Linked DNA regions of Saccharomyces cerevisiae S288C. The protein of the gene in region 2 interacts with the protein of the main gene of each other region in a biochemical or structural test. Each region holds a gene or a part of one and is shown on either strand. Other genes may lie near its edges.

Region 1 (10,292 bases), on a different chromosome or scaffold from region 2:
GGAGCCTGTTGATGCTGTTGTTGTTGGTGTTGTTGCTGTCGTTGGGTATTATAAATGGACCTTGGAGAGATGGGTGGGATGCTTCTCGTGCTAGTAATGAACTCCGGCGAAGAATGTATTATTTGGGGCGCTTTTTCGTTTTCTGCCATCATCGGCATGTTCCCGCTATTAATATTAGTTTTCCTGTAAGGATCACTATATGATGTAGATGATGAAGCAGAAGACGAAGAAGATGCAGAAGAAGAGGAGGATAAAGATGAAGAGGAAGGCTTACGCTGGTGCGAGCTGGTAGAATGGTGGTTTTTATGTGCATGGACCGATTCCCGATGCTGTTTCAAATTATCAACTCTACTGAAGAATTTCAAACATGCAGGACACTGGAACGGCTTTTCACCAGTGTGCTTTCTTATATGACGTGCAAGATGTTCCGCTCTAGTGAAGGACATCGTACAACCGTCATATCCGGTGCATTTGAACGTTTTCCTTCGAGCACTTTTGGACCTCTTCGGAGTTGATGCCGCTACACTATTGGTGGCAAAGTTACCATTGCTGCTCGTAAGAACGCCTGCAGTATTACGATTCGTGGTATTTTCCATTTCGTGTTTTTTTCTTATCTTATCACAGTATTATTTATGTGTTAGTAAAAAAAGCTAAGCCAGTAAGTCGCTCCAGATTTTTTCTTTACATACATGGTTAATGAAGCTGTTGCAAAATACTGCAGCCAAGAACTCCTGTCTCTTTCAAAACAAGACGAAACTTTATCTGCCGGGATGAATAAGAATTAATCAAAATTATAGGCAATAAGAGTGGATTGAGATTGTTATATACGGAAGACTGTTGAACGGTTAAGGGGGAAGCCGTGAAGGAGCAAACAAATCTTGAAAAAGAAAACATTTTCTAAAAAAAAATAGAGGGGATAAATAAGGCCCTTAGGGGGACTCAACGGCGGAGAATTCGAAAGCCAAAGGATGCTTCCCACCGCTAAGCCAGGGCGAACGGCAGCGGCGATCGAGGATGCTGGTTCTTTAAGGGCACTCGTCCACCTTCGCGATTTTTCTCTTCCCTGAGTATTTGGCAGAGGCGATCAAGGGGTGGCTCACACAACCAGTCGCAGGAGCGTCGCGCATCGGGTATTAGACCCTATTCTGTACACCACAGCCTTCCAGCCCCTTGCCCCACGCGATTGGTGTAAACAATAGATGGCAGTAATCGTTGAGACAACATAACTACCGGCCGTCCCTGACCCTTTCCCCTCCTCACGGTAGAGACAACAACCACGGGAGGAATAAAAACCGGTGCTGGGCCAGCCGATATCGTAAAAGCCTAATTACCCCAGAGCTGCTACGCGGACTTCTATTCTTCCACGCGTCAATATGCCCCCGCGCGAATTTGTGTGGGCCGACCAAATAGAAGAATTGAACGGTGTGTACGCTCAGGGCCATATGATTATAGACGTACACAATGATTAGGCCAGATCGAAATCAGAGGCTAAAGTAAGGAAACGATAGAAAAATAACAAAGTAATTACTATTATGTCTGATAAATAGAAGCGACACGTTACATATTAAAAGAGGGACTACGTAGTGCTCTCTCTATTTCTTAGTAGAAACGGCGACCGCGACAGCTTGGAGGTCATCGTGAGAAATAGATACCTTCACATCGGTAACACCAGCTTCTTCGGCAGCCTTTTTGGCGTTACCGTGCAGTTCAACGGCTGGAGCGTTTTTGTTAACGCGTACGATTTCGATGTCTTTCAATGCAGCACCACCGCCTAAGGACTTGACGCCTAAGGACTTGAAAACAGCCTCTTTGGCGGACCATGTCCCAGCGAAAGAGCTTTGCACACTAGGCTGCGCGCTGCAGTACTCTATTTCTTGCGGGGTGAAATTGCGCTCGATAAAAGTATCATTTTCAACGTTGATGCTAGTGATTAATTCAACATCTACACCGACGCCACCGTTAGAGACTTTCTCCTTGGTCATGTTTTCAATCATCTTGGCAGTTTCAATGGTGTTAGCATTGATGTAACTGTCCTTGCTTTGGATGTTTTTAGAGTTGAAAGTCAAGGAGCCTGATTTCTTATCCTTAGATACACGGGCTAATGGGTCCAAGTAAACATCCTCTTCCAATTCATCAGTGTATGGAGCATGCTCTTTACTTACGAACAACTTGTTGTAGATCATACCATTATGGAAGAATTTGTAGGCACTTTTCTCTCTGGCACTAACCTTGGCGACATACTCGTTGTATCTGTCTTCAGTGATAGCACCGTATAAGTAGTCTGGATGAACCACAATAGCTTGACCACCCTTTTGACCAAAACCGAAAGAAGTGATGGACACGGCTCTGACACCGTCGGTCTTTAAAGTCTTGGATGGGTACAAGACGTATTCAAATTGCTCCAAGATCTTATCCACGTTATCAGCGTTACGGTTACCTGGAATAATACCACTGTTTAGAATTTGCAAAGCACCATTCATCATCCATGCACCAGCAGCACCCTTTGGATGACCAGTCAAGAACTTTTGGAAAACACCAATGACGGGATTACCTTCAGATCTACCCAAATGCTTCATCATTTCATTAATTGTGGCAGATTCGTTCTTGTCATTAGCCTTTGTGGATGTACCGTGGAATGAAGCGACACCCAAGTCATCAATAGTTAAACCGTAAGTAGCCAGTGCTCCTCTCAATGGAGCAATACGTGGGTCCCTCTTGTAGAAGTCGTTACCCCATTGTTGTTGTGCAGCTCTCAATTGACTTTCAGCTTCGTTGTGGATTTCTCTGGTACGTTCAAGTAAGAACTCGTTTTGGTCTTCGCTTGGAATTTCTTCGGCCTCCAACTTCAAAGCTTCCAATTCGTTTTCTACCCAATCTTTAATCTGAGCTTCACGAGTAACCAATTGGCGCTTTCTGTACTTCATGTTCAAGTTTGGTGAAGCATACTTAACACTGGAGTGGTGTTCACGAGCAGTGGTTAAAATACCCTTACCTGGAGCTGGCACAGATCTACCAATCTTATCGGTGGCGGTAGCAGCCATGGCAACAATACCGTAAATTGGCACACCCATCTTCAAAGCTAAATCAGCTTGCATGATGATTTGAATACCAGCACCTTGAGCTTCCATAAAACCGTTACGGGTAGTGGTGGCAGGTCTGGACATTTCCGCTGGGGTACGACCATGTTCAAATTCTTCCAAAGTGTTGGAAGTGGCCTTCATGTTACCGAACTCAAAGGAGCCTTCTTCTTGGAAATCATCGTAACCACCGACAATACAGATTCTAGCCTTACCAGACAAGATGGTTTCTACACCAATGTCAACAGATTCCACGGATGTGGCACAGGCACCAACAGGTGTCTTGATTGGACCAGATGAGGAAATCAACAACATATTAACCCAAGCGGACATGGTGTTGATAAATGATTCTTGTAAAATATCATTTTGGACAGGCTCATCCTTGAAACGGTCCTTAAACATACCACGTAAGGCAGAAACACCACCCATACCAGAACCAGAACAGTTACCAACCTCAGAAACATGTACGTATTTGTACATTTCGTATGGGTCGGTGATACCAGATGCAATAAATGCTTCCACAACAGAGACCAAAACGAATAATGTGATTGGGTCAACCTGAGAAATGATATCATCAGAGATACCATAAGTCTTAGCATTCCAACCAGTTGGAATTTGACCTGCAACCAAACGGTCAAATCTCAAAGCCTTTGGAATGTATAAAGTGGCACCCTTTAGTAACTTAACAGAGTACTCTCCTGTTTCTGGGATTTCGAAGATATCCACTTTGTCACCATGTTGGTGTTTAAATTGTTCGGCAGTTTCCTTCGAAGCCTCAAATGGTTCCAAGTCTTCTTCGACAATGACTTCTTGAATCATTTCCTTCTTTTCTGGGTTGTAACCATTGAATAACTCTGGTTCGATCAATCTGATACCACTGTGTTCTAGGATTGATGTTTCATACTTGGCCTTAACGTCCTTGTCATCAACTGGTTCTTTTGTTTTGGAATCAACCCAACCAGTGTATGGACGACCCTTCAAATTACCGTTATGGTATGAAATGAAGCCCATAATCCAGGCCATTTCAACGCAACCTTCCAACGAAAATTCACCAAAAGCTTCCATTTCCCATCTTGTTCTGGCCGAACCCCATGGGCCGACTTCAGCAAAACCGGTAACTACAATAACTCTTTCCAAATCCAACAAACCTTCAAGCTCAGCGGGAGCAATTTGTTTAACCTGTTTGTATGGTTTCAATTCTGGGAAGTCCAGTTGAATGTTAGCTCTTGGTTGAATTTCGACTTGAGCATATGCAGCATCAGCGCTATTGCCATTGACAACCTTATGCTCCAAAGCAGTTTCGATGGAAACTGCCTTTCTAACTTCAGAAGTTTCAACCAACTCTTTACGCAATTTAGCAGTGAATTCCTTCAATTCAGGAACAAATTGCAAACCACCATTCAAGTCAGCCATAACAGGTGATTTTTGGCACAATTCTACGACTTCTGGAGTCAATAGACCCAATAAGTTGAAAGCCATTTCCTTTTGAGAGAAAGTACGAACACCCATCTTTTCAATGCCTTCAGCAATGATGTTATTAGCGCTCATTAAACCAGTACCTCTAGTCCAACCAATAATAGCACCGCAAACGGTTAATTGATTGGCCCAGGATTCAGAGTGCCATCTGTTGAACAAAGTTTCCAAAGACAACTTGGATTCTGAATACATACCATCACCACCGAAAGTACCATGGTTTGGAGACATTGGTAGAATGACTTGAGCTGGTCTTGTTTCAATACCTCTTGCAGATTTTTGCTTCTTGACACAACCCATCATTCTTAAGATATTGGTCAACATGATTCTATGAGCAAATTCAGACTTAGAATCAATATGTTCTAATTCAATACCTTGTTCTGGAATGGCCGCGAATGGAATAATAGCATCTAGATCCCAACCTAAACCACCATTCTTTTCAGTGTCGTAGATAAATTCAATCAAAGCTTCAACGTCTTGCTTAGAACCTTGGTTGAATGGAACAACAATCAAAGTAGAACCCTTAGCACCATATTTGGCGTAAATGGATTGGTAGTAGTCTGTAACTTGCTTAGAGAAACGAGAGGTGGTAACAACAACCTTAGCACCACCTTGTAACAAACCTTGCAAGACTTCAGCACCAATAGAACCCTTACCAGCACCAGTGATCAAGACGTATTTGTCCTTGAAGGTGACACCGTTGAAGGCAGCCTTTTCTAAACCATCTAAGAAAAGAGAAGACAATTGGCGGTCATATTTCCAATCTCCGGCAGGAGTCTTCTTTCTCAAATGTAAGAACGGAATAGTTTCTCTTGGAATAGTTGAAGATACCGTCTTAGAAATGGTAGATTTGTTTGGCAAAGAAGCAACTTCTTTGGTGGAATCTTTGTCCAAAGCATCCTCAACATCCATACCGGCCAATTGGGTTGTTTGAGAAGGATCGATTTCTTTGGAGCTTTCCAAGAACTTCATCAAATCACTATATAGTTTTTCAAATTCAACCCTGGTGGAGCTGGAAATATCTTGTTTATCAGCTTGAGCACTGATTGCCTTGTAAACACGAGTCAAATCCTCTTCAATAGTAGGTTGAGATTCTTTGGTGATTGGACCACCAAGGGCCATTTCTTGTACGTATTGAGATAATTTCCTAACCTTTTCTCTTGGCTCTTCTGAGTATGTAATGTTACCGTTCTTGTCAATAGCAGTTTTTGGACCGGTAGGCTTAGCAACATCTTTGTAAACTGGATCAACATCCAAAACTTGTTTACAGTTTTCAATCAACTGCTCACCAAGAGTTTTAACCAATTGATAGTTTTCACCTTTTGTTTCATCAGTGTTAGAGATATGGTATTCCATGAATTTAATCAAAGCATCGTTAGATCTGTTCATGATATTGATAGCTTCACTAACAACCTCTCTATCAACGTTTTTCAAGACACCATGAATTATCTCAAAGTATAATGATAATAAAGATTGTTTAGCCCAGTTCCAGGAAGAATCGAAGGTTCTGGCCTTTTTTCTAGAGAAAGAAGTAGCAACACCGTTAACAAAGAATTCACCTAATTCGGCATTCAAGTAATCCAACTGAGCTTGAAGTTCAGCAACAGTGTCCTTTTCTTTCAAGAACTTTCTTTCACCGTTATCCAAGTCCATTTTTAGATAACGAGCCAATACTTGCAGTTGTTGACGCGCCAAAACCTTGTGGTCTTTGGTTATTTCTTCCAGAGCGCCAGCATCGATCATAGCTGCACCGGCAGCAGCACCTGCACCGGCAGCACCACTAGCGCTAGCAGCTGATGATAAGTCAACACCAACAATGGAAGCGTATTTTTGAGCCATGGAGTCCAAGAAAGCCTTGGCATCAGCTTCAGAACCTAGACGAGCAGCAGGCTCGTTAGATAAAGCTACCAAAAGGACACCATCTTGTCTACCAGATGGTAGTCCCCAGCGAGTTTGTAAGTATTTTCTAGCGACAGTAATAGTAAACCCACCAGGCATCTTAGATGAGATTAATCTTGATAATAACGAGGAAGATTGCTTACCCAATGCTCCAGAGAAGGTATCTTGGAAAGTTTCTGCCAATTCTTCTAATGGAGTTTCTTCTGGTTTTTCAGGAGTAGTACCAAATTCTTTACCTAAATCACCCAAAATTTCATTTTGGACTGTAGATTTACCACCGACCAAGTCTTTGATTGTCTTGGACATTGGAATGGAATCTAACGACTTCTTCAACTTGTGAGCAACCAAAACGTGCAACAATAGGGAAGCCTTGACAGGTTCATCGGCAATCTCAGCAGCTGCTGCAGCTGGGGCTGCTGCCGCGACGGGAGCTGGGGCTGCTGCTGCAGGAGCAGGAGCACTAGCAGCTGGAGTTGGAGCAGGAGCTTCTTCCTTAGCGGGCTCTTCCTTTGCAGCTAGTTCGGATGGATCTGGGGTATAATAAATCTCTTTGGCATCCTTCGAATAGCATAAGATTTCTCTATGTAAAGACAGAGCAGCATCGTAAGATTCGTATTTATTCTTCAAGGTTCTTTGAGCCATCCCAGCCAAAGTTGGAGAAGGACCGATTTCAACAACCCTTTCAGTGTTAAAATCCTTCAAAAAAACATCTTGAGTTTCAATCCATCTCACAGGAGAGGCAAATTGATAAGCTAACAATTCAGTTAGCAAAATATGAGCTAATTCTTGCTCAACTTCCGGCTTCATAATGATGGTATTTCAATTGGTGTTGCTGTAGCCCTTTAAACGTCTAATATAGCGGTTATTAGAAAAGCACGACAGTGGTGATGTGGTCTTGTGTAACCTTCAGTTAACAAGTTATATATGAGGCATAACCGTTTAGAAACAACTGGTTATCCAACATCTGTAAACTGCCCAACAAACCGTGCCTTAGTGAGATTTCGGTCGTAACGTTACGAGGCGAATGAGGTAGCATGTGAAAACGCGGGAGATAAAAAAAAAATGGTTGGATTTTGCTAAGCGATGGGTTAGTTTGCGGGTAATGCCCAATGTATTTTTAGGAAGAGTGATATTTAAATATTGCTTGGCTAAACTAAATACACGTCCATGATTCAGTAGTAAGTTGTTGTTTTTGGCCTGCAGACCAGAGAAAATTTAGGAAATATAGTAAAGAATAGGCGAAAGTATTAAGATATATTGATATACAAAAGGGGAGTTCGGATAGAATAGAAATATAGAAAATAGTTGGAATTAACGCGTTTTGACAACGGCTGGGACAACAACGACAACAACAACGACTACAATGATGGCGAATACAATCAACCAACATCTAATCTTGTTCTTTCTTGCTTTTCTGGCACTCTTGACGGCTTTATCGGTATGACCGACACCCTGTTCTACGTCGAGTTGAGCGTCTTCAACGTTCTTGTCGATGACGTCTACGTTTTCTTGTTGTTCTATTACCAGTTCTTCCATGTCATTAAACAATTGAGTAAGTTCTGCCATGGATTTTTCTAGTTTCAATAACTCTTGGTGCCTTGCCTGGACTTCCGCAAGAGCAGTCTTGGCTTCCCCACGTCTGTTAGCATTCAACAATGCTTGTGAGAAGATCTGCTGGCCCCCTACATCGCTTATGGCTGCTTCAACTTCATCTTCGGTGGCCTCTGGTTGAATGATCATATACTGCCTCTTGGCTTGCTCTTTATTCTCCTCCTTGTAGTTGGAATCCACAATTCTGTAGTCCTGGATAAGCTTCAAAAATCTTTGTCTGGAGTTTTCCGCCTGAGCTTGCTTGTTGGTGTCATGTATCCCATCCCTTTGGGCACTTTTAATCTCATTTTTCAGTTTGAACTGCAAGTCCGTGGCTTGTGCGACGAAGTTGTCCAGGGAGTGCCTTAAGTGACTTGCTTGCTCCTCATTAACTTCGGTCAGTAGCCTCTTATGCAAAGAATCGACCTGGTTGATGGTATGGTCGTACTTATCGAGATCGCGATTGATTTGACTGATCTTATTCATGAAGCCCACGAAATCGTGGCCTTCAGCACCGATAGCGCTCGAACCTTCGTCCAACTCGTATGACTCTTCAAAAGGGGTTTCCAACTGGTACGGATTATTATAACTCATTTGATTTGTTTCTATTTTTAATTGCCTTTTTTAATTGTAAAAGGGTTTTCTTTCAAGTATACACAGATTTACCGCAAAGACCGTCACTGCGTGAGATAGACCTTTCTTTGTTCTTTACTAAAAGTTATTGGTCTTTCCCCTTGTAACTTCCACGATTTGACTTGATTTGGTTCTTGACGTCTTTACGAGAAGTAAGATCCTGCTACTTTTCTTTTTTTGTATTCGCGTTTCACAGACACTAATTTTTTCTCTTTAACGGGCAAAAACTGGATTCTCCCCCATGCGCACAGCCTGCATATCGTCTTTTGTCGTTAGTGTGTGGGAAAAGGCTGGCTCTATACTTTTTTATTTTCAGCTCTTCGTACAAAGATAAAAAAGTGTAAAAAAATGAATAAAGCCCCAGAATATAGTTATCATTTACCACGAGGTTGACTGTCTTATATGTTATTTATTCAATCCTCCTCCAGGAAGTCCATTAAGCGCTTGACCTTTTCAACGTTATATCTTACCTTGGGTAGGTCTTGCTGTGTTTGATACAATTCATTGAGTGAGGCAACGTAATCCTGCTTGATGTGCTCCCAGTTGATGTGATCATCGGCATCGTCGGTACTATCATCATGGTCAGCAGATTGTTGCTGCATCATTCTAGCTTGAAGAACGCCGATTCTCCCATCCAATTGTGCCAAATACTCATCCTTTGAGTTGTTGTAAACTTCGTTGATTTTTGCAGGCCCCGTTTGCCTCAACTGGGCCACCTTAACGGTTTCGTCTTCCCACTCTTGGTACATCTTTCTAACTTGCTCATTCAGGTCAAGGTCAAAGGGCTCCATGTACTTCTCTTGTGATTCCATGATCAATTGCTTTACCGTCTTTCCTACCGTGTCGGCGTTGACAACTTCTAGTGACTTCGAAGCCATCGTCATAGCGCTCAAAAGAAATTCTTGTAACTGTATCTGAACCTCTCTCCTAACAGCGTCATCGTCGTATTCTTTCTTCGGTAGATGCAAATCAGTTTTTTCTTCCAAGATATCATGAAACTGGTGGTATATACTTCGAAGCTGCTCAACAGTTACGTCCAGTTTTTTGGACTGACCTTGTGACATCTTCTCGTGTTACAATAATATATTTAGTGTGGTTGCTATGGGTAAGAAAGGATTTAGGCTCCGGTACACGTCTGAATAAAACTTTTTCCGCCTACTCAGCCTGCTTATTGTACTGTACCGGTTTGTTTATTTTCTTGATTCCTGCACGCACAAGGAATGGCCGCGAGTCGTCCCATCGATCTTTTTTTCTCACTATATATCATGAACGTTTATTTTGGCTGATAACAAAATATTCGTGTCAGTTGAGCCAGGTAAAAGGTTGCAGCCTAAATCAGTACTTATGTACGTACATGTGTATCTGTGTATATATTATCTATATCACTAATCGTCTTGTGCTTTCAGGCTTAAAGAGCCATTTCAAAAAGCAAGCAATTACTGGACTGCTTTTATATGTTTTCCCTCTACGGAAAAAAAAATGTAGAAACCTGTCAAAATGGTGATAAAGAAGAAGTAACTTCTTTATTTGGTATTGTTCAGGTCTGCTTATTCCTCTTCGGTTAGATGTGTTCTTTTGCGTAAAAGCAGCAGCACTTGGACAATGCGACTTTTTACCCGG
Region 2 (10,873 bases):
TTTGGTATTTTAGTCGTGAACCTTTGATATGTCTGTGTTTGGTGCTTTTGCCGATTAAACAATCAGGACATTGATAGTCAATAGCACTAGACCAGTCGACATCTGATTCGTTAAAATACGTGATGGTGTTATTTTTAAGTGAGTATCGAATTGTCTGTGCATTGGCATGTGCAAGCATTCGATGAATGAAAGGATAAGGATATTTGCGTGTACTTTCACTTGTATGGACATTATTGATGGTGGGTACGGAGATATTTGATGGAAGCAAGTACTTTTTAGATACCCAGTAAAAGTCTCCATATTTTACGATAGGTGCAAGTACAGTGCCGTCAGATCGTTCTAAGACGTTTTTGGTAAAGCATGCTGTGATATCTACTGCAGCCAATTCATTCAAACTGAGTAAGTCATAGGCTATGTTAGGAGTGTGCAATACCTTTATTGATGTTTTGGTGTTGTCCTGGAAGTGAAATTGTAGGTCACCAATAGCGTTAATTGGTATATTTCTTTTTTGAGCATCAACTACGTTTATGTCAGGATTAGATGATGCTGAGTGTATGTGATGAGCAGATCTTATAAGGGTTCGTGATGCTCCTGAATCGAGAAGGAGGTGTCCAGGGAGTTCATCATCAGAATGATTAGTGTGATTTACCGTAGATTCAGTAAGTTCCTGGCCTAAGGTGAAGGTCGTGCTTATTGTTCAATTGAATCGGTTCAGTAGTTGATTTACTGATGGAATCGTTGTCCGTGCTGGGAGAGTTATTAGATGTGGATACATTGTGAGCCCTGGCTGTTTTCGATTTCGAATTATTTGTTTTTTGAGGATTCCGAGCTATAACTTTGGGTTTGGTTGTATTCGTATAGCTGCGAGAATCATTCTTCTCATCACTCAGATTTCTCCTGTAATTAGGTTTGCTGTTTCTCGATCCCTGTTGTTCTTCATAAATAGCATGGATATCTAAGAACAGTTCAGCGACTGTCATATTTAGATGTCGATGACGTGTGTAGCGTAAAAATTTATATTCGCCAGATAGACCTCTCATAATTAATTGGCATGCGACCTTGTTATTGATATGAATGCCATTATTGTTCAGTCTGTCGATAATGTTTGTGACTTTTGTTTCAAATGCATCTGCAGGTGTACTGCCATTATATTGCAAATTTGCCAGGGTCACAATGTCGTTTGCCTCTTGGGTATCAGATTGCATTTTTTCAATACTTTTGGAAAGAATTTTCATGATATCCGTATAATCAACGGATAGGATGTCTTTGACCCAGGTAGGTAGGAATTGAGAGGGAGCAAATATTTGAAAAGTGTTATACAAGAAGGTGAGTTCATCATCAGTGATCTGACGTACGGGTTTTCCGTTTACTGTCGGAATAATACCACCGAGATTCGAGTTTTGTAAAAATTTGATGTATGTTTTAACCCAATTTGGAAAGTCATTAGGTGAGGTTAACATTGGTGGTGGTCTGACATATTTTTTAGTGGATGTCATATCAGAGTCCGCTGAGGATGAATCAGTAAATGTATTACCTGACTCAGGTGATGGAGTGCTCAGAGGCGTTCCAACTGATGATGGATACTGCGGAAACTGTGATTGTGGCCCAGGTGGAAAGTACATAGGCGACATTTGATAAGGTGTATACGGAATCATAGATGGGTGTCCGTAAAATGACCAACCAGATGGATTGGCTTGGTTTTGGGTCATCATGCACTGCTGTGGGTACGGCCCATTCTGTGGAGGTGGTACTGAAGCAGGTTGAGGAGAGGCATGATGGGGGTTCTCTGGAACAGCTGATGAAGCAGGTGTTGTTGTCTGTTGAGAGTTAGCCTTAGTGGAAGCCTTCTCACATTCTTCTGTTTTGGAAGCTGAAACGTCTAACGGATCTTGATTTGTGTGGACTTCCTTAGAAGTAACCGAAGCACAGGCGCTACCATGAGAAATGGGTGAATGTTGAGATAATTGTTGGGATTCCATTGTTGATAAAGGCTATAATATTAGGTATACAGAATATACTAGAAGTTCTCCTCGAGGATATAGGAATCCTCAAAATGGAATCTATATTTCTACATACTAATATTACGATTATTCCTCATTCCGTTTTATATGTTTATATTCATTGATCCTATTACATTATCAATCCTTGCGTTTCAGCTTCCACTAATTTAGATGACTATTTCTCATCATTTGCGTCATCTTCTAACACCGTATATGATAATATACTAGTAATGTAAATACTAGTTAGTAGATGATAGTTGATTTCTATTCCAACACATCTACTAACTAGTATTTACGTTACTAGTATATTATCATATACGGTGTTAGAAGATGACGCAAATGATGAGAAATAGTCATCTAAATTAGTGGAAGCTGAAACGCAAGGATTGATAATGTAATAGGATCAATGAATATTAACATATAAAACGATGATAATAATATTTATAGAATTGTGTAGAATTGCAGATTCCCTTTTATGGATTCCTAAATCCTCGAGGAGAACTTCTAGTATATCTACATACCTAATATTATAACCTTAATCACAATGGAATCCCAACAATTACATCAAAATCCACATTCTCTACAAATGAAGAAACTGCTTATAGTCAATTGAACGATTTACCGGTATTTTAACGCCATTATATATATTAGTAAAAAGATGGCGTATATTGATGGACTAACAGGGTCAAATAAAATCATGAATTGACTAGTATATACTTATAAGTATATCGTTCTACACAAACTAGGAAGATGACATACATGATGAGAATTGGTTATCAAATTCCATGGATGCCGAAACGTAAAAGATTTACTAAATAGTAGGATAATTATTGATAACATACAAAACAAAAAAAAAAGAGACAATATTATTATCTAGAAGTGTCGACTTCCTTCTGTGGGTTTCCTATGTTCTCGAAGAGAGCTTCAAGTGTATTCTATAAACTAAGAATATTAGTTTAACGAAAGATCGAAGTCAGACACCTATCTAACTTTCATTAAATTATCACACAAAAATCCCACATACTCTCGTCTTGCTAAACAAATAATAAATTGAAGGTGAACGATTCTTCTTGCAGCGTCCTAGCTGTTGGGTCGTCTTAGATAAATATCTACTGTTCTGAATTGCCAAATTTTCCTTCTATTGTATCCATTCGATGCTGGACGGCCAGTTCTACCGTTATTGCCCAAAAGGAAGGAACGTCGCGATACTTCAACACATTAAATACTTGTTGATTTTCGAACCAAAACTCTGAAGCAACACTTTCGTATATGGATGGCCCTTCAGAGAAACCAATAGGTATGTAAAGAATTGCTACGTGGTGACTCAAAGTGAATTATAGCAAAGTTATAAAAGCGCTACATTGTAGAAAATTGAGAACCACATTTTGACATACACGAATAACAGTATTTTTGTCCTGGCGCTGTAAAGTATTTTAAGTTATGATGATGAATTAACTATTTTCAGCCAATGAAACGTCCATAATCTGTTCTGAATTTAGGTGCATTGATATAGCCGGTCAATCTTCCCTTGTGAAATCACCCAAAATGCTGGGATTATCATTCTCAACAATTTTGATTTGTGCCAACCACTTCGATAAATCATCTTCCAGCTCAGTATCATCTTTTTCTGTAGTCCCACTGTCAGGATTTAATCCTAACTTTTTGAGACCGGATATCAATGATTTAATGTCTTCTTCGGATGCCTTTTCTCTTAGCAACTCTTCAAACAAAGTCACTTTGAAATCTATATCGTGTTTGTCCTGTTCAGGATCTTCAAATAGGTGAACCCCTGTTCTTGCAAATAAAGCTTCATCAGATAGTTGCACTTGATAAAATTGGGAACATCTAAAATGGAACTTACTGCAATAGTGCGACAAATATGCATACGGATTGTTTTCTAATAAAAATTTCTTAGTAGTATCATTCATTGAAAATGGATCACGTATTCTTTCTGGCGATTTACCGCAAAGAGGATATCCGCATCTTTTGTTTAGATTCCTCTCATCTACTAGGTCTTGATACATATCCGGTGTGAGAAATCGGCCCAAATATTTCAATGTTTTCTCATCCTTGCATTCTGAATCACATAATAAGCCTATAATCTCTAAAGTTATAACTTCTGCTTCATGCATGGAAAGTTGCCTGTGCTTTTGGAAAGGGATTAACGCCGTTTCCTTAATATCTTCAATCGTCGCCATTTCTTATTCTTGTTAACTTCGTCCTAATTTTTCAAACTAAGATGCCGATGTATAGATATTTTAGACTGGGAATGTTTATGAATTGTTCAATTCGCTCCTCAATGTGTCTCTTTCTTCACTTTTCCATTGCTTTTGACCACTTCTGGATGCCAGCTGATTTTGTATTGTAGTATTCCTATTTCGGACAAAAATATCGGAAAGAGATGAAATAAGAAAATTAGTTACTTTTAATATCACGATGCTGTCTCTGAATCGACCTGATCGATCTATAAGGTGTATATATTATTCTACCGAGTAATCCAAAAAAAAAGCAGCACTCCCATGCAACACAAGGATACGGCAGTAGCGAAGGACACAGCTAAAAAACGTTTACTGAGAAGAAATAGTGCGCCGTCAGCTATACATATAATTTCACGATTAGACAAAAAGTGGTCCTTCCTATGGAATACTATAGATAGACACAATATTGTTGAAGAGCAAGATGAAAGTAGCGCTGCAAAAAGCGAAGAAGAACATGAGGATGATTATGAATTGGAACAATTACTCAACATGATAAGAATACCAATGTTCCTGGAAAAGTTCATGCTCTTTGCACTTTTAACAAGCTTGGACTGTTTTTTGTATTACTTTACTGTATTACCGATACGACTGATAAAGGGATATGTAAAGCAATTCAAGAGTTATCGTCAGCATTATCGCCTGCAACAACGGTCTGGGCATAAGAATAAAATACCCTTTCGATATAGAATAACTTCAAGAGAATATAAAGAGAGATGTATGATTTTTATCATCGTGATTTCATCCATTTTGTTGAGCAAACTAGACACCTCAAAACTATATCACAGGATAAAACGGCAAAGTACGATGAAATTGTACATGCTATTCAGTGTACTGGAAATGGCGGACAAAATGTTGGCAAGTTTGGGCCAGAGCTTATTAACGGTTATGCTTTCTAGGAAAAACTCGGAACGGATATTACTGCATAAATGTTTGTTAGTGTCAATGAGCTTGACATATGTGACTATACACGGCTATGTATTGGTTTACCAGGCCATTTCATTAAACATAGCCGTGAATTCGTATTCCAATGCCTTGCTAACTTTATTACTATCCATGCAATTTGCAGAAATCAAATCATCGGTTTTAAAGAAATTTGATAAGGAGGGATTTTTCCAAATAACCATTGCAGACGTAGTGGAAAGATTTAAGTTGACCTTATTATTGTCAATAACTGGCCTTAGGAACCTCCAGTCGTGGTCATCTTCATTATCGAACACAAGCATCAATTTCTGGAGTCCACGTTCCACATTATCAATCGTCATTAACATACTTTGTGGGCCGATGGTAAGCGTGGTAGGGAGTGAAGTGTTAGTGGATTGGGCAAAGCATGCTTACATCACAAAATTCAATCGGATCCGCCCACAGATATATGATAAGTTCTATTATATAATATACAAGGATTATTCTACGAGAACGCACAAATTAGAAGATAGATTGGGATTGCCTTTACCTGCATTCGTTGTCCTTTTTATTGTAATGGTGAGGCCAACACTTTTTAAATCATCGGAACCTTCTTACCTTCCTTCGCTATTTAGGATCCTCTTCATGGGGGCATCCGTGTTTTTACTAGCATTGTTGGCAAAATTTACACTAGATCTTATTTTAATCAAATGGAGCAAACGGATAGAGCAACGGTTCAGAGACCAAGCTTTCAATACCGTTGTAACTGAAGAAGAATACGTCCCAGGTTTACTCTCGGGCGGTATGGGTAAAGTCGACGTGTCTACAAGAATTGCATTACATTCTGATTACAATAAAGAGAATCGTATAGAGACCGAAAGTGTATCGCCAATGCGGAAAAGAAAAACTACTTTAACTGCTGAATGTACTCCTCCTAGCCTAAATGATATTAGAAGACAGAAAGATTCCAAGAATCCACGATCGCTTGAAAATGTCGCTCGCTATAAAATGGTTTCTAAAAGAATATGGTAATCTAAGATCCGCATTTATCGCGGCTTACGGCTTTCGGATATTTCGTATATTGCAAGGAGCAAAAAAGAAACCCTGCTTACTAAAAAGCTATTGTTTTGCAGTTTATAAGTTCTTGCCTTTTGAATTATTGATCTTTCCTTTATCGTTTATTTAGTTTCCTATTGTAACTTGGAACTGTATTATATAATAGTGCACAGCACTGAAGTTGTAACTACTGTACGTCATGCTTTTCAGAAACATAGAAGTGGGCAGGCAGGCAGCTAAGCTATTAACGAGAACCTCGAGTCGTTTGGCCTGGCAAAGTATTGGGGCCTCAAGGAATATTTCTACCATCAGACAACAAATCAGAAAGACTCAACTATATAATTTTAAGAAAACTGTGAGCATCCGTCCATTTTCTCTCTCCTCCCCTGTTTTTAAACCACATGTTGCTTCAGAATCAAACCCTATAGAATCACGTTTGAAGACCTCGAAGAATGTTGCTTACTGGTTAATAGGTACATCCGGTTTGGTATTTGGTATTGTTGTTCTTGGTGGGTTGACTAGACTAACAGAATCGGGGCTGAGTATTACCGAATGGAAACCTGTCACAGGTACTTTGCCCCCTATGAACCAGAAGGAATGGGAAGAAGAATTTATCAAGTATAAGGAATCACCAGAATTTAAATTGTTGAATTCTCACATTGATTTAGACGAGTTCAAGTTTATATTTTTTATGGAGTGGATTCATAGATTGTGGGGTCGTGCTATCGGCGCTGTTTTTATATTACCTGCAGTTTATTTCGCTGTATCTAAAAAAACTTCAGGCCATGTCAATAAGAGGTTGTTTGGTCTCGCAGGTTTATTAGGATTACAAGGATTTGTTGGTTGGTGGATGGTGAAGTCTGGTCTTGATCAAGAGCAACTAGACGCAAGAAAATCAAAGCCTACCGTTTCTCAATATAGACTTACTACGCATTTGGGTACCGCCTTCTTTTTATACATGGGTATGCTCTGGACTGGTTTGGAAATATTGAGAGAATGTAAATGGATTAAGAACCCTGTTCAAGCCATTAGTCTCTTCAAAAAATTAGATAATCCCGCAATTGGCCCAATGAGAAAGATTTCTTTAGCTTTGTTAGCGGTGTCTTTCCTTACCGCTATGAGTGGCGGTATGGTTGCCGGTTTGGATGCTGGTTGGGTCTATAACACCTGGCCAAAAATGGGTGAACGATGGTTCCCTAGTTCTCGTGAATTAATGGACGAAAACTTCTGTAGAAGAGAGGACAAGAAAGATCTGTGGTGGAGGAATTTGCTAGAAAACCCGGTTACAGTTCAGTTGGTCCATAGGACATGTGCGTACGTTGCGTTTACATCAGTACTAGCTGCTCATATGTACGCTATCAAAAAGAAGGCCGTAATTCCAAGGAACGCGATGACCTCTTTGCATGTTATGATGGGCGTCGTTACTTTACAAGCAACACTTGGTATTTTAACTATATTGTACCTAGTCCCAATATCGTTAGCTTCTATCCATCAAGCTGGTGCTTTGGCGTTGCTAACAAGTTCTTTGGTGTTTGCCTCTCAATTAAGGAAGCCAAGAGCTCCGATGAGAAACGTAATCATTACCTTGCCACATTCAAGCAAAGTAACTAGCGGTAAAATTTTAAGTGAAGCGTCGAAGTTAGCCTCGAAACCATTATAATGGATAAAGGTATTCTTATGAGAATTGACAGTATACTCGCTTTTCCGCTTTGTCGCTCCAATGGTTGGATTGTATGTGTGAGGCTTTTTCTTATTATATGTTGGTATCCCTACGAGAAGCTGTAAATATGAATTTCTTTAGTAGGCATCACACACAACAATAGGGTGTATTTATTTTTATTTTTTTTTTTCTTATATAAATGTCAGTAATACATGATATCTTTAAGTTAGGATTTCACGAAATTTTCTTCTGCCTTCATCATGGCATCTGTATTTGTGCTCGCGAGCCTCCAAAGTATGAACATAAACACAGACCTATACGGAGAAAATGTTTCAGAGCATTTTTCCATTATGTCGTCGTCATATATTTTCCAGTTGTATTTCTTATGCTTAATCTTACTCTTTTTAACTACTTTTCTTTCACGCATTAATTCTTTTTCCAATTCTGGCTTATCTGAAAGGTATTTTGAAAAACCCCTAGCAATACCTAGATCTTCAGGAGCAAATACATCCATTCTTTTCAATCCGGAGATCAAGAACATTTTGGCACTCCATGGGCCTATACCTTTTACATTCGTAACTAAACTTTCAATCACTTCCTCATCATTATCTTTTTGACCGAAGAGCTTTTCGATATCCTTATATTTTTCAGTAAAATAGACAGCAAGAGACTCTAGATATATCATTTTCCTTTTACTCAATCCACATTTTGCGATTTCTGCACATTTTGCTGGGTCTTTGAAGTCTTCGAAAAGGATTTTGTAATCAGGAAATGCACCGCCATAAAGACTGACAACCCTTGCCTTGATGCTTTCAGCTGCTTGGCCACTGATCTGTTGAGACAAAATTGTGCTTGCAAGCCTAATAAAATAATCTTCGAGTGTATTAGGGACTTGAGTCTCCTTCAAGTACAACGTAAATTCATTATTCTTAAGTATGGGAAAAAGTGATGGATCTTTCTCTAAAATGTGTTCGCAAGCCATATTGAACTTTTCTTCATGTCTAGCAATATATTTCTCAGGAAGAGCAACCTCTAGAGGTCGAGACCCTAATTCTTTTGCTATTTCCTTAACAGCGTCTGCTTTTATTAACTCATCATACTCCCTTTTTAGTTTCATTGAGACCAATCCCTCTCTAGCTTCTCTTGATTCTCAGTAAAAAATTAAAAAGGAAAAGTACCACTTCCATCGTCATATCAGAGGGCAGTGGCCAATTCTCATTGATTCATAGATAACTTAAACTTTATGTAAGAATTCCCGTCGCCACCCCGCCCTGTAAATTCATCGCCACCGAAAAGATAATAATACCAAAATGATATATAAAGTAGGTCGAATAAGAAAGTATACTTAACGTAGTTAACAAAGTACATACCAAACATAACAGCAAAAATATACGTAAAGATGGATTTAACAATTTCAAACGAACTTACTGGCGAGATATACGGCCCAATTGAAGTCAGTGAAGATATGGCTTTAACTGATCTAATAGCATTACTGCAGGCCGATTGCGGGTTTGACAAAACAAAACACGACTTATATTACAATATGGACATTCTAGACTCAAACAGAACTCAGTCTTTAAAAGAACTAGGGCTCAAAACCGATGACTTATTATTGATTAGGGGTAAGATTTCCAATTCCATTCAAACAGATGCTGCTACTTTGTCCGACGAAGCGTTCATAGAGCAATTTAGACAAGAGCTACTTAATAATCAAATGCTTAGATCACAACTCATTTTGCAAATCCCTGGATTGAATGATTTAGTAAATGACCCACTGTTGTTTAGGGAAAGATTGGGCCCGCTCATATTACAAAGACGTTATGGTGGCTATAACACCGCCATGAATCCTTTTGGCATCCCCCAAGATGAATATACTAGACTAATGGCCAACCCCGATGATCCTGACAACAAGAAGAGGATTGCAGAGCTTTTAGACCAACAAGCTATCGATGAACAGTTGCGCAATGCTATCGAATATACACCTGAAATGTTTACCCAGGTCCCTATGCTTTACATTAATATCGAAATAAATAACTACCCCGTAAAGGCATTTGTAGATACAGGGGCTCAAACAACGATTATGTCCACCAGGTTAGCGAAGAAAACTGGCCTGTCGAGAATGATTGACAAGAGATTTATTGGAGAAGCTCGTGGCGTAGGAACCGGCAAAATTATTGGGAGAATTCACCAAGCCCAAGTCAAAATAGAAACACAATATATTCCATGCAGTTTTACCGTCTTAGATACTGACATCGATGTTTTGATAGGACTAGACATGCTGAAAAGGCATTTGGCTTGTGTGGACTTAAAGGAAAACGTTCTTAGGATAGCAGAAGTGGAGACAAGCTTTTTGAGTGAAGCGGAAATCCCAAAAAGTTTTCAAGAAGGACTTCCAGCACCAACGTCAGTTACAACTTCGTCTGATAAGCCCCTAACACCCACCAAGACTAGTTCAACTCTACCACCACAACCGGGGGCTGTTCCTGCGCTTGCTCCAAGGACTGGTATGGGGCCAACACCTACGGGAAGAAGTACAGCCGGTGCTACAACGGCAACCGGGAGAACGTTTCCCGAACAAACGATTAAACAGCTTATGGATCTAGGTTTCCCTAGGGATGCTGTGGTAAAGGCTCTTAAACAGACTAACGGAAATGCAGAATTTGCTGCATCCCTCCTTTTCCAATGAGCAACCACTGATATTGTGATCGGCCTCTACGTATGTAGCCCATAACACAAATAGATAAGTATAAGGATGTACATACTTTCATTGTTTCGTCAATTGTTGTTTGTATTGTATATGATTGTACTTCTGTTAAGTATATAATATGCAGATTGTATTTGTGCCTCAATGTGCGCCATTCATGTGTTGCAAACCGGTAATTTGATTCAAAAAATTCTTTCGTAAAATAAAACATATGCACTGGGTGTGATAAATTCAGTACTAAACGTTATAGGACGATAAAGCGAGTCATCGAAAAAATACCAACCTTTTTTTGGTC
Region 3 (10,873 bases), on a different chromosome or scaffold from region 2:
GGCATATGCATACAAATATATAAATACATTCGGGTGTATACGTAAATATATAAATATATAAAGTAACATATGTATATAAAGACGAAAGATTGAACGCCATCGTGGAGAGGGTTTTCGTATGAAGGTGCCTTAAGTCTTGTGTAGAAGTAGTTCTTTAGTTAAGATAGAACCTGGTAAAGACTCAATGGACTATTTACATGTATATAACAACAACCAGGCGCACGTTCCCAGAACACCTCCAGGCAGGCAGTGCCTATCGCCCGTTCTGCCCCCAATCATATTGGCGTTAGATCAACAACATTCGCTGACATTTGGGTACTCCAGCCCCAGGTGCTTGCCAACACCCATATTGCCTTCTATGAGCACAAATACGCCCGTCCATTGGTCACAACAGGTTGTCACTATCCCTGTCGCTGTACGAAATCATGCCGCAATGATGCCTATTATCACACCTATGACCTCCCCAAGACCTCAGTTTGAAGCAACGGCTCCCTCACCCCCTTTGGCCCCGGTCGCCATAAAGCTGCCAGATTTGAAACTACCACCGTCGCCTGTGCCCAGCACAGTAGAGGACAGAGTTTCACATCCTATCCTGCCCAAAATTGTGATCGGGAATGGCGGCGGCCGTGATGTTGAGCGAGATAGTACCGAGGAATTAATTAGGAAGATTCCAAACTACATTGGTTGTGCAAAAACAAAGGCACAATTGAGCAAAGTTAGGTCTGGTAAACAACTAATTGCATGCGCACAGGAATATCACCATCCAGTAAACAAGGACGAGATCGAAAATATCAACAACATTCTAAACTTCAGGGACTTTATTTTCAAGCATCCAAAATCCTCCTTCGAGTTCCTATGTACCCTGTCGTTTGAGCAGTTCGTTAGAGTATATTCATTCATTAGTTTCATCTACAGGACAAAGAAAATCAATAAGAACAAGTACGAACTCGTTTGTGAGATGAATGTTCACGAGCAACTCAGCAATAAGCGTATACAAAGAACAAGGACTCCTGAAAAGTACAAAATACATTTGATCTGCGAGTCAAAACTCATACTGACCTTCAACCACTGTACGAAGACAGTAAAATTTGAGTCTATCAATGGCGGGCACTGCCATCCGATTTCAGCCAACCACATTATCAAGCCCTCCCTCTTCCTTACCCACTGCATTAATAAATGCTACCAGACCGTGTCAGACCCTACCGATTTGAAATTGGCATTGAGAGACGCCTTAGAAGCCCTTGATCATGAAAGGATAGGATTGTCTTTCTTAAAGAGGAGACATTTCAAGTGCTCACACCAAGCATCATCACTCTCGAATGCCAGCGCCACATTGAAGAAACAAGAAGATCATGACACATTTGGTGTACATACAGGAATAATTCATACGGCAAATTTCTTCATGTTTAATGCATCTAGCGATATATTCCAGAGGAACTAACATATATAAATATCTGTATCCTTCTTTAAGAAAACACAATTGCATACTTTTTCCATTATAACTGACTGTTTCAGATCCTGCAATAGAAAGTATTTTTTAAGTAATGAAATAGTGCTTCCATTGATAGTAAGTGAGTAATAAGACGATCGGAAACTATTAATATAAGTATAGTTTACATATATATATATATATATGTGCCAGACGATAATATCACCGTAGTTTCCGGCCGGGTTATGCCACGCGAAAACGCCTCGAGCCAAGGGAAAAACTAAACTACAAAACAAAACAAAACAAAACAAAAACATCTACTATATCGTTTTACCCAATTCAGTATATCCGTCTACAACAGTTCTCGCCACCCAAGATCTGTAAACTTACAACTGCAAACAAACAATGAGAGAAGTTATTAGTATTAATGGTATGTTCGATTTGCCCGTCCAGGCTAGATCTTTTTTTTGTTAGTTCATTTTGGCGTTTCATCTTTCATTACTAACTTCAACGCAAAATTTTTTTTTTTTTGATTTCTCTTTACAGTCGGTCAAGCTGGTTGTCAGATTGGTAATGCCTGTTGGGAATTATATTCCCTTGAGCACGGTATTAAGCCGGATGGACATCTAGAAGATGGCCTTTCAAAGCCGAAGGGAGGAGAAGAGGGTTTCTCCACGTTTTTCCATGAAACCGGCTACGGTAAGTTCGTTCCAAGGGCTATTTACGTGGATTTAGAGCCCAACGTTATTGACGAAGTCCGTAACGGTCCTTACAAGGACTTGTTCCATCCAGAACAGTTGATCAGTGGTAAGGAGGACGCGGCTAATAATTATGCAAGAGGCCATTACACCGTTGGTAGAGAAATTTTGGGCGATGTTCTGGATAGGATTAGAAAACTGGCAGACCAATGTGATGGGTTACAAGGGTTCTTGTTTACCCATTCTCTTGGTGGTGGTACTGGTTCCGGTCTAGGGTCCTTACTGTTGGAAGAACTATCCGCTGAATACGGTAAGAAATCCAAGCTGGAATTTGCCGTATACCCTGCTCCACAAGTGTCTACTTCTGTGGTTGAGCCTTACAACACAGTTTTAACTACACATACTACATTGGAACATGCAGATTGTACTTTCATGGTCGATAATGAGGCTATTTACGACATGTGCAAAAGAAACTTGGATATCCCAAGACCAAGCTTTGCAAACTTAAACAACCTAATTGCTCAAGTGGTATCATCTGTTACAGCATCATTGAGATTCGACGGTTCATTAAATGTAGATTTGAACGAATTTCAAACCAATTTGGTTCCATATCCAAGAATTCATTTCCCCTTAGTTTCATATTCTCCAGTCTTATCCAAATCAAAGGCATTCCATGAGTCCAACTCTGTGTCAGAAATTACAAACGCTTGTTTTGAACCTGGTAACCAGATGGTCAAGTGTGATCCAAGAGATGGTAAATACATGGCTACTTGTCTGTTATACAGGGGTGATGTGGTAACAAGAGATGTTCAAAGAGCTGTCGAGCAGGTGAAAAACAAGAAGACCGTCCAATTGGTTGATTGGTGTCCAACTGGTTTCAAGATCGGTATTTGCTACGAACCTCCAACTGCCACACCAAACTCACAATTGGCCACTGTGGATAGGGCCGTCTGTATGTTGTCAAATACCACATCCATTGCTGAGGCTTGGAAGAGAATCGATAGAAAATTCGATTTAATGTATGCCAAACGTGCTTTCGTCCACTGGTATGTCGGTGAAGGTATGGAAGAAGGTGAATTCACCGAAGCTAGAGAAGATTTGGCTGCTTTAGAAAGAGATTACATCGAAGTGGGTGCCGACTCATACGCTGAGGAAGAGGAATTTTAAGGTTCACTCTCGCCCCCAACCTCCTTATCCTTTCTATATTTCAAGTATATTGTAAAAAAAAAAATTCCCCCTACTGTTATATCTCTTTGGTGATATCTTATCTATAATCTACTTATTATATTTCTCTAATATCTATGTACAAAAAATAAAAAAAAAAACCATTCTCCTTCTCTAACCTGCATTTGATGAAAGCTTAGTAAGTCTCATCGTAGTTGATGGGCCAAAGACATTTGTACTTGTTTCATCAGATTCTTACATCACCCATTTCCATGATTATTTCACGGATTTCATTAGTAATTGCATTTTTGTATCCCTAGTTCCTTTTCTCCCGCCTTGCCGTCGAATTGAAAAAAAAAATGGAAATGAGGACATCTTCCATTGATATCCAGGACAAAGCAAGAGTAGAAGTAACTATTAGCAAGGAGAATTCCAAAAATAGTGAACTTCAAGGTAAGCAGATCTATAGTTTCAATATCTGATTTTCTGCTTTTCAAAACTTAAAATTCATTAGAAGGTAAAACAAGAACCCGTAAAATTAAAGTTACCGATATTATCAGGTTTTTCACCCCATGTCTACTATCCCATTTAGAAAGAACTATGTGTTCAAAAACTGGGCCGGAATTTATTCTGCAAAACCAGAACGTTACTTCCAACCAAGTTCAATTGATGAGGTTGTCGAGTTAGTAAAGAGTGCCAGGCTAGCTGAAAAAAGCTTAGTTACTGTTGGTTCGGGCCATTCTCCTAGTAACATGTGCGTTACTGATGAATGGCTTGTTAACTTAGACAGATTGGACAAAGTACAAAAGTTTGTTGAATATCCTGAGTTACATTATGCCGATGTCACAGTTGATGCCGGTATGAGGCTTTACCAATTGAATGAATTTTTGGGTGCGAAAGGTTACTCTATCCAAAATTTAGGCTCTATCTCAGAACAAAGTGTTGCTGGCATAATCTCTACTGGTAGTCATGGTTCCTCACCTTATCACGGTTTGATTTCTTCTCAATACGTAAACTTGACTATTGTTAATGGTAAGGGCGAATTGAAGTTCTTGGATGCTGAAAACGATCCAGAAGTCTTTAAAGCTGCTTTACTTTCAGTTGGAAAAATTGGTATCATTGTCTCTGCTACTATCAGGGTTGTTCCCGGCTTCAATATTAAATCCACTCAAGAAGTGATTACTTTTGAAAACCTTTTGAAGCAATGGGATACCCTATGGACTTCATCTGAATTTATCAGAGTTTGGTGGTACCCTTATACTAGAAAATGTGTTCTATGGAGGGGTAACAAAACTACAGATGCCCAAAATGGTCCAGCCAAGTCATGGTGGGGTACCAAGCTGGGTAGATTTTTCTACGAAACTCTATTATGGATCTCTACCAAAATCTATGCGCCATTAACCCCATTTGTGGAAAAGTTCGTTTTCAACAGGCAATACGGGAAATTGGAGAAGAGCTCTACTGGTGATGTTAATGTTACCGATTCTATCAGCGGATTTAATATGGACTGTTTGTTTTCACAATTTGTTGATGAATGGGGGTGCCCTATGGATAATGGTTTGGAAGTCTTACGTTCATTGGATCATTCTATTGCGCAGGCTGCCATAAACAAAGAATTTTATGTCCACGTGCCTATGGAAGTCCGTTGCTCAAATACTACATTACCTTCTGAACCCTTGGATACTAGCAAGAGAACAAACACCAGTCCCGGTCCCGTTTATGGCAATGTGTGCCGCCCATTCCTGGATAACACACCATCCCATTGCAGATTTGCTCCGTTGGAAAATGTTACCAACAGTCAGTTGACGTTGTACATAAATGCTACCATTTATAGGCCGTTTGGCTGTAATACTCCAATTCATAAATGGTTTACCCTTTTTGAAAATACTATGATGGTAGCGGGAGGTAAGCCACATTGGGCCAAGAACTTCCTAGGCTCAACCACTCTAGCTGCTGGACCAGTGAAAAAGGATACTGATTACGATGACTTTGAAATGAGGGGGATGGCATTGAAGGTTGAAGAATGGTATGGCGAGGATTTGAAAAAGTTCCGGAAAATAAGAAAGGAGCAAGATCCCGATAATGTATTCTTGGCAAACAAACAGTGGGCTATCATAAATGGTATTATAGATCCTAGTGAGTTGTCCGACTAGTCTCTTTTTGTCTCAATAATCTCTATATTTTACTAAAAAAGAATATATATATATATATATATAGCAGTGTGATGACTGTTCATGTACATTCTAATAACTATTCCTAGCTGCCTATCAAAGACTTTTTTTTTGAATTAGAGCTTTTTAGTAATCATGGGACCCTTTTTTCTTTTCATTATCCTTACTATAGTTTTTTTTTTTTGGAAAAGCCGAACGCGGTAATGATTGGTCGTATAAGCAAAAACGAAACATCGGCATGGCGTAACGTAGATCCATCTACAGGGAAGTTTTTAGAAATCAGATAGAAATGTATTTTGAGTGCTGTATATATTGCAGTACTTTTTTTCTCTCTAGGATTTAAGTATGTTTAGTATTAACTCATATCACATTTTTTCTTTGTAAAAAGCAACCATTCGCAACAATGTCGATAGTAGAGACATGCATATCTTTTGTTTCGACAAATCCGTTTTATCCATTTTGTACTGGATTGCTTCTGAATTGTGTGGTTACACCTCTTTACTTTTGGAAAACGCAAAATGGTAGAATCGTGGTCGTTTCATTGCTGCAATTCGTAGTACTTTATGCCACAGCGTTTATTTCGATTGGAACTGATAAATCTCTTTACAGAAATAAATGGGTCGCGCTACCGCTATCCAAGAAGACCCGCATTTCTCGTAATACTAGTCTGTACTGCTTCAAGTTAAAGTACCCATTTGAAAGATTGCATATTCCCATGGGATACCACCTGGCAGTAAGGGTTACAATAAATGGTGAGCGATTAGTGAGGTACTATACGCCAGTAAATGTTCCTAATACGGAGGGTCACTTGGAATTAGTAGTCAAGACGTATAAACATGGTGTCGTTTCTAAGTATTTTGATAAATTAAAAATTCGCCAGTATGTTGAATTTAAAGGGCCGTTAGGTGAGCTGGAATATGATCAGGACACCGCAACAGAGTTGGGTATAATCGCAGGGGGGTCTGGTATAACCCCTGTATTGCAAGTGCTGCAAGAAATCATACCCTCTCCAGAAGACCTAACACACATTTCTTTGATATACGCAAACGAAACAGAGGATGACATTCTCATGAAATCGCAACTAGACCACATGGCTAAGGAGTACCCGCATTTTAAAGTTCATTATGTAATTCATAAGCCAAACGGTAAATGGAACGGTGATGTTGGGTACGTAACTCTAGAGGAAATGAAAAGATACCTACCTAAACAAGCGGAGGACCATCGTTTATTGATTTGCGGACCACCTAAAATGAATGAAATGGTTTTGAATTATGCAAAGGAGTTGGGGTGGAGTAATGGGTTTCACAAAGGTAATGGAACCGATAAAGTTTTTGTTTTTTAATCAACTGTTTACGATTGATGATTTTTCATGTAAATAAGCATTAATTATATTTAGATATATATTCGTATTTTATTAATAATTAGGAGGAATAAAGTCCGACATTTTTTTCAAAAAAAAAAAAATAATATTTCACAACGAAAAATCTATAAATAAAATATTTAACATATGCTCTTCCAAATGTACATACTTTCAATTGATTTCACTCAATGACAACGCAATGGCCAATTGTAAGTCTTCATCAACATTATTACTAGCATCAACGCCAACAGAACTACCGATAGTGTTCTCAGTTGAGGTTCGTTCGGATGACTCTGCTGCACCATATGTAGCAAAATTATCGTCGCTCAAGGGCCCATTTCGTCGACCTGTAGTATGATTTCTAAGATGTCTTCTCCTTTCGTCCTCCACTCTTGATTGTCTGATGGCTCTGAGAAACTCTTCATCATCTTCATCTATCTCATCATTCGTATTATTACCATGATTCGCAGAGCTATTCGTTTGCGTCTCATATATCAGTTGAGATTCCTCCAGCGCCCTTCTTAACTGCTCATCTTCATCATCTCCGACAGGCTCCCCCGCTTCAGCTTGATTCCGTGCTTGCGCCTCCTGTGATTCTAAGAGTGCAATTCTCAACTGAATGTCGTTTTCTTCATCGGTGTCGCCTGAAAGTTCAAGGTCTCCACCATACGCATCGATCAATCTTGATATTTCTGACTGTCTTTTTCTTCTAAGGTCTTCATCTTCATCATAATATTGCAGCTCCGTGTTCAAAGTTTCATTCCACTTATTGCTTACTGTGTTTTTACCTTTAGTGGAATGGTGATGTTTCTTTGAATCACTTGAAACAAACTTTAAATAATTCAAAACGTTACCGCTTCCCATAATGATTTTATCCTGCGATACCTTCAAAAATTCGGGAAACTTCTCGGTTTTCAACACTGTCTTTATTAACTCGCCTGTCATCGCGTTCAATATTTGAAGAACATTTGGCAATGCTACCACAACTATTAAATTTGTCACCTGCGATACGTATACCTGCTCATCAAAACTTATCTTACATTGAACTTTTAAGCCTGACGAAGAAAGATCTCTTATATTGATAATGTATAAAGTGTTCTGTGTCGTCAAAAGACTGATATAGCAGCCGTCATCACCAGCAAATTGCCAGTTTTGTTCCCTTTGAGAAGTTTTTTCATCTATTTCAACTGCGCATATTTGTTCAGGCATCTCCAACTTTCTCAAATTGCCGAAGTTACCATTGGGATTGACCGATATTGTATAAACGTTATTCAGGTCAGCAAGTACCAAAGTCATGGAACCGAAATCCATCTTGAAAAACCGTACCCTCATAGGCTGTTCGTCCAGATCCTTAGGAATATCAATACTGTGCAATTCCTGCATTTGATGGATAATGTACAGCTTTTCATCATCCATAATTAAGGTCCAATCTTTAAAAAAAGCCAGTTTCCAAATTACCCTATTAGAAACCTTCCACATCTTAACAAGCTTATTTTCGCACCACCATATAATTTCACCGTTTTCAGAGCCACTAACAGACCAGTCCTCTCTTGACGTGTCCCAGGATTCTGAATTACAAATGGCAGTAACGCCTGCACTATGCCTTCCCGTAAATTCCATCACGGGCGTTAAGTACGATTTGTTACTTAGCAGTTTTCCAAACACTCTGCCGTCAAACCTACCAAACACTGCAGCATTAATATTGAAGTCCATGGTAGAACAACCTTGTGGTGTTGTACATGGAATATAAATCAATTTCTTAAATTTCTTCTGCCTTTTGTGATTTTGTAACTGTAAAATTGTAATGGTACCATCATTATAAGCTGCAACTCGTGGATAATCAAACACTATGCGTTCTATACTGGGCTGATCCCAGTTTCTCGTCGGAATTATTGTGTATTTGGTTCTTATAGCCTTGTTATGCTGCCAATGATGAAGACCCCGTGTCCTTTCAATATACTCTACACTAAATTTCGAAGACTGAGAAAATGTGGGGAAATGAGTCGTGTGAACTCTAGACTTAAACAGGTTCTTCCAAAGTTCTTCATCGTGAATTAAGTTCCGGAAATGCGTAGAAAGTTCTTGCAACGTGAACAAGTCCTTTTCGTCTAAGTGAGAAAAGATGTTTATCAGGATTTCGGGTGGAAGGTCCTGCAATACCAAGCCAGGCCGCTCCATGCTGTCTTATTCCCTAGTGTCGGCCACCTGATAAAGGTTTTTAACTCGTACCTGGTATACCTGCCTGTTAGATTTATTTAAGGCATCTCTAAGTAATACTGAAAACCGCCACATGCGAGAAAATGGAAAGGGAAAAATTAAGGCTGCGAAAATTAATAATAGCCAAAAAAAAGTGCATGATAAAGCCTCACCCCGAGTTCGAACCGGAAAAAAAAATAGCTAAGTGAACTACTTATCCAAAGCGCCAAAAGGGGTAACAAGAAGCATTTCCCGGCTTTTAAAATGCGTACATAAACTGCTAAAAAATGTCTTGTTTCTTTTTTCGGTATATTTGAAGACGGGGATTTTAAATCATGAAATACGTACTTCGCCCTAAAGAGTCACTACAGAATTTACAGAATAGTTAGATCGAAGCACGCTAAATTGGCACCCGAAATAACACTGCAGTTGTTGCAGCTGTGGCGCGCAGTGCGAATCTGCCGCAGAAAACCCAGGAAATAGCGACCGGACACCACGTAATGCAACGCTGACCTTTCGGCGGCAAAGAATTGGGGTAAACATATAAAGTATTATTTAAAGAGAGAGCAATTCCAAGACAACAGAAAATCTTACAATATATTTATCACAGAATTCGCGGCGCAATTATACGTGGCAAGGAACCTAGCAGGCTTTACGCAAGATGCCATGGAAAATTTAACATCTAAGGCTACCTGAATAAAATGCCAAAAGCGAAAAAACCGTCTGAGAGCCCGCTAAACTCTTCAGAGTCGGTAGTAGATACCAAGATTACGCTAGCCGCACATTTCCAATTTGTTGTTATTCCCTATGCCGCACGCTTGGCAAAGCTGTATATTTGACTCTTTTAGTAGATTTGTAGAGCTTTTCCTGGCATACAATAAGCAAAGACTTTATTTCCGCTCGAGTCCGCTTTTAACCGCCGAATTCCTCCGGCTAACCAATGAAATGCAAGAGCGCACAAAAAGTGGGGCAGCTCCGAATGCGCGCGTTCTCATTGGCCAGGCACTCGGGGCCGAGACTCGGTGTGCCTTACAATTCCCCCATGACAAAGCAAAAACTGTCAGTTTCCCTCGAATCATACACACGTCAATTACAAATCCATGGATTAAGTTGTCTCTCGTTCGTCCATATTACACTTTTCTCTTTAGTTGTATGCTTTATAAAATTGATCCGTGAAAAGTTTTCCACATAATAAACCAAGACAACAGGATTGTTTATAACGTTATAAGAAAGCAGAAGAAAATTTGCTGTGCGTTGTTTCCCTAATATCGCACCCAAAGAACCAAGACACATCATAAAAGGAGCTATAGCTTCAACTCTGACACAATTTTTTGTCAGTTTATATTCATCTTCACAAAAAAAAAAATTATACAAATATAGAAACAAATAACTCGCCCAGCTTTTTTTGCATAAAAAGATAAGTGCATTTAAATTTATAGAGACTACAACAAACAGAAAAGAAAAAACAAGCATACACAAACGAAAATGGCTTTCAAATCATTCATATACTCTAAAGGTTATCATCGTTCCGCCGCTCAAAAGAAAACTGCAACATCTTTTTTCGATAGCTCCTACCAGTATCTAAGGCAAAACCAAGGTTTGGTAAATTCGGATCCCGTACTTCATGCATCTCATCTACATCCTCATCCGGTCGTAGTAGCGAATGTAAACTATAACAACGTAGATGATATTTTGCATCCGCACGACCTGGATTCTAGCATAAACAACACTAACAACCCCCTCACCCACGAAGAACTACTTTATAACCAAAACGTTTCCCTTCGATCGCTGAAGCAGCAGCAAAGTACAAACTATGTTAATAACAACAACAACAATCAACATAGGTATTATTCTA

What was found.
Region 1: the proteins of DDI1 (region 2) and SSO1 form a complex in vitro, tested with the Saccharomyces cerevisiae proteins (one study listed by BioGRID).
Region 3: the proteins of DDI1 (region 2) and UFO1 form a complex in vitro, tested with the Saccharomyces cerevisiae proteins (one study listed by BioGRID).

The regions. Positions count from the first base shown.
Region 1 is NC_001148.4:105,616-115,907, reverse strand, and holds SSO1 (syntaxin), read right to left. Parts: upstream 8,634-10,292; coding exon 7,761-8,633; downstream 1-7,760. Other genes in the region: USV1 (Usv1p), read right to left, coding at 1-596; trifunctional fatty acid synthase subunit FAS2, read right to left, coding at 1,593-7,256; MIND complex subunit NSL1, read right to left, coding at 9,086-9,736. UniProt on the Saccharomyces cerevisiae protein: Required for vesicle fusion with the plasma membrane.
Region 2 is NC_001137.3:447,046-457,918, forward strand, and holds DDI1 (Ddi1p), read left to right. Parts: upstream 1-9,273; coding exon 9,274-10,560; downstream 10,561-10,873. Other genes in the region: YER137C-A (gag protein), read right to left, coding at 657-1,979; YER138W-A (uncharacterized protein), read left to right, coding at 2,429-2,533; RNA polymerase II subunit B1 CTD phosphatase RTR1, read right to left, coding at 3,518-4,198; EMP65 (Emp65p), read left to right, coding at 4,520-6,190; COX15 (Cox15p), read left to right, coding at 6,414-7,874; MAG1 (DNA-3-methyladenine glycosylase II), read right to left, coding at 8,101-8,991; putative ubiquitin-specific protease UBP5, read right to left, coding at 10,761-10,873. UniProt on the Saccharomyces cerevisiae protein: Aspartic protease. Appears to act as negative regulator of constitutive exocytosis. May act at the level of secretory vesicle docking and fusion as a competitive inhibitor of SNARE assembly.
Region 3 is NC_001145.3:90,362-101,234, reverse strand, and holds UFO1 (SCF ubiquitin ligase complex subunit UFO1), read right to left. Parts: upstream 9,001-10,873; coding exon 6,994-9,000; downstream 1-6,993. Other genes in the region: YML083C (uncharacterized protein), read left to right, coding at 185-1,441; alpha-tubulin TUB1, read left to right, coding at 1,835-1,859, 1,976-3,294; ALO1 (D-arabinono-1,4-lactone oxidase), read left to right, coding at 3,864-5,444; AIM33 (cytochrome-b5 reductase), read left to right, coding at 5,866-6,804; RPM2 (ribonuclease P), read left to right, coding at 10,504-10,873. UniProt on the Saccharomyces cerevisiae protein: Substrate recognition component of a SCF (SKP1-CUL1-F-box protein) E3 ubiquitin-protein ligase complex which mediates the ubiquitination and subsequent proteasomal degradation of target proteins. Probably recognizes and binds to phosphorylated target proteins.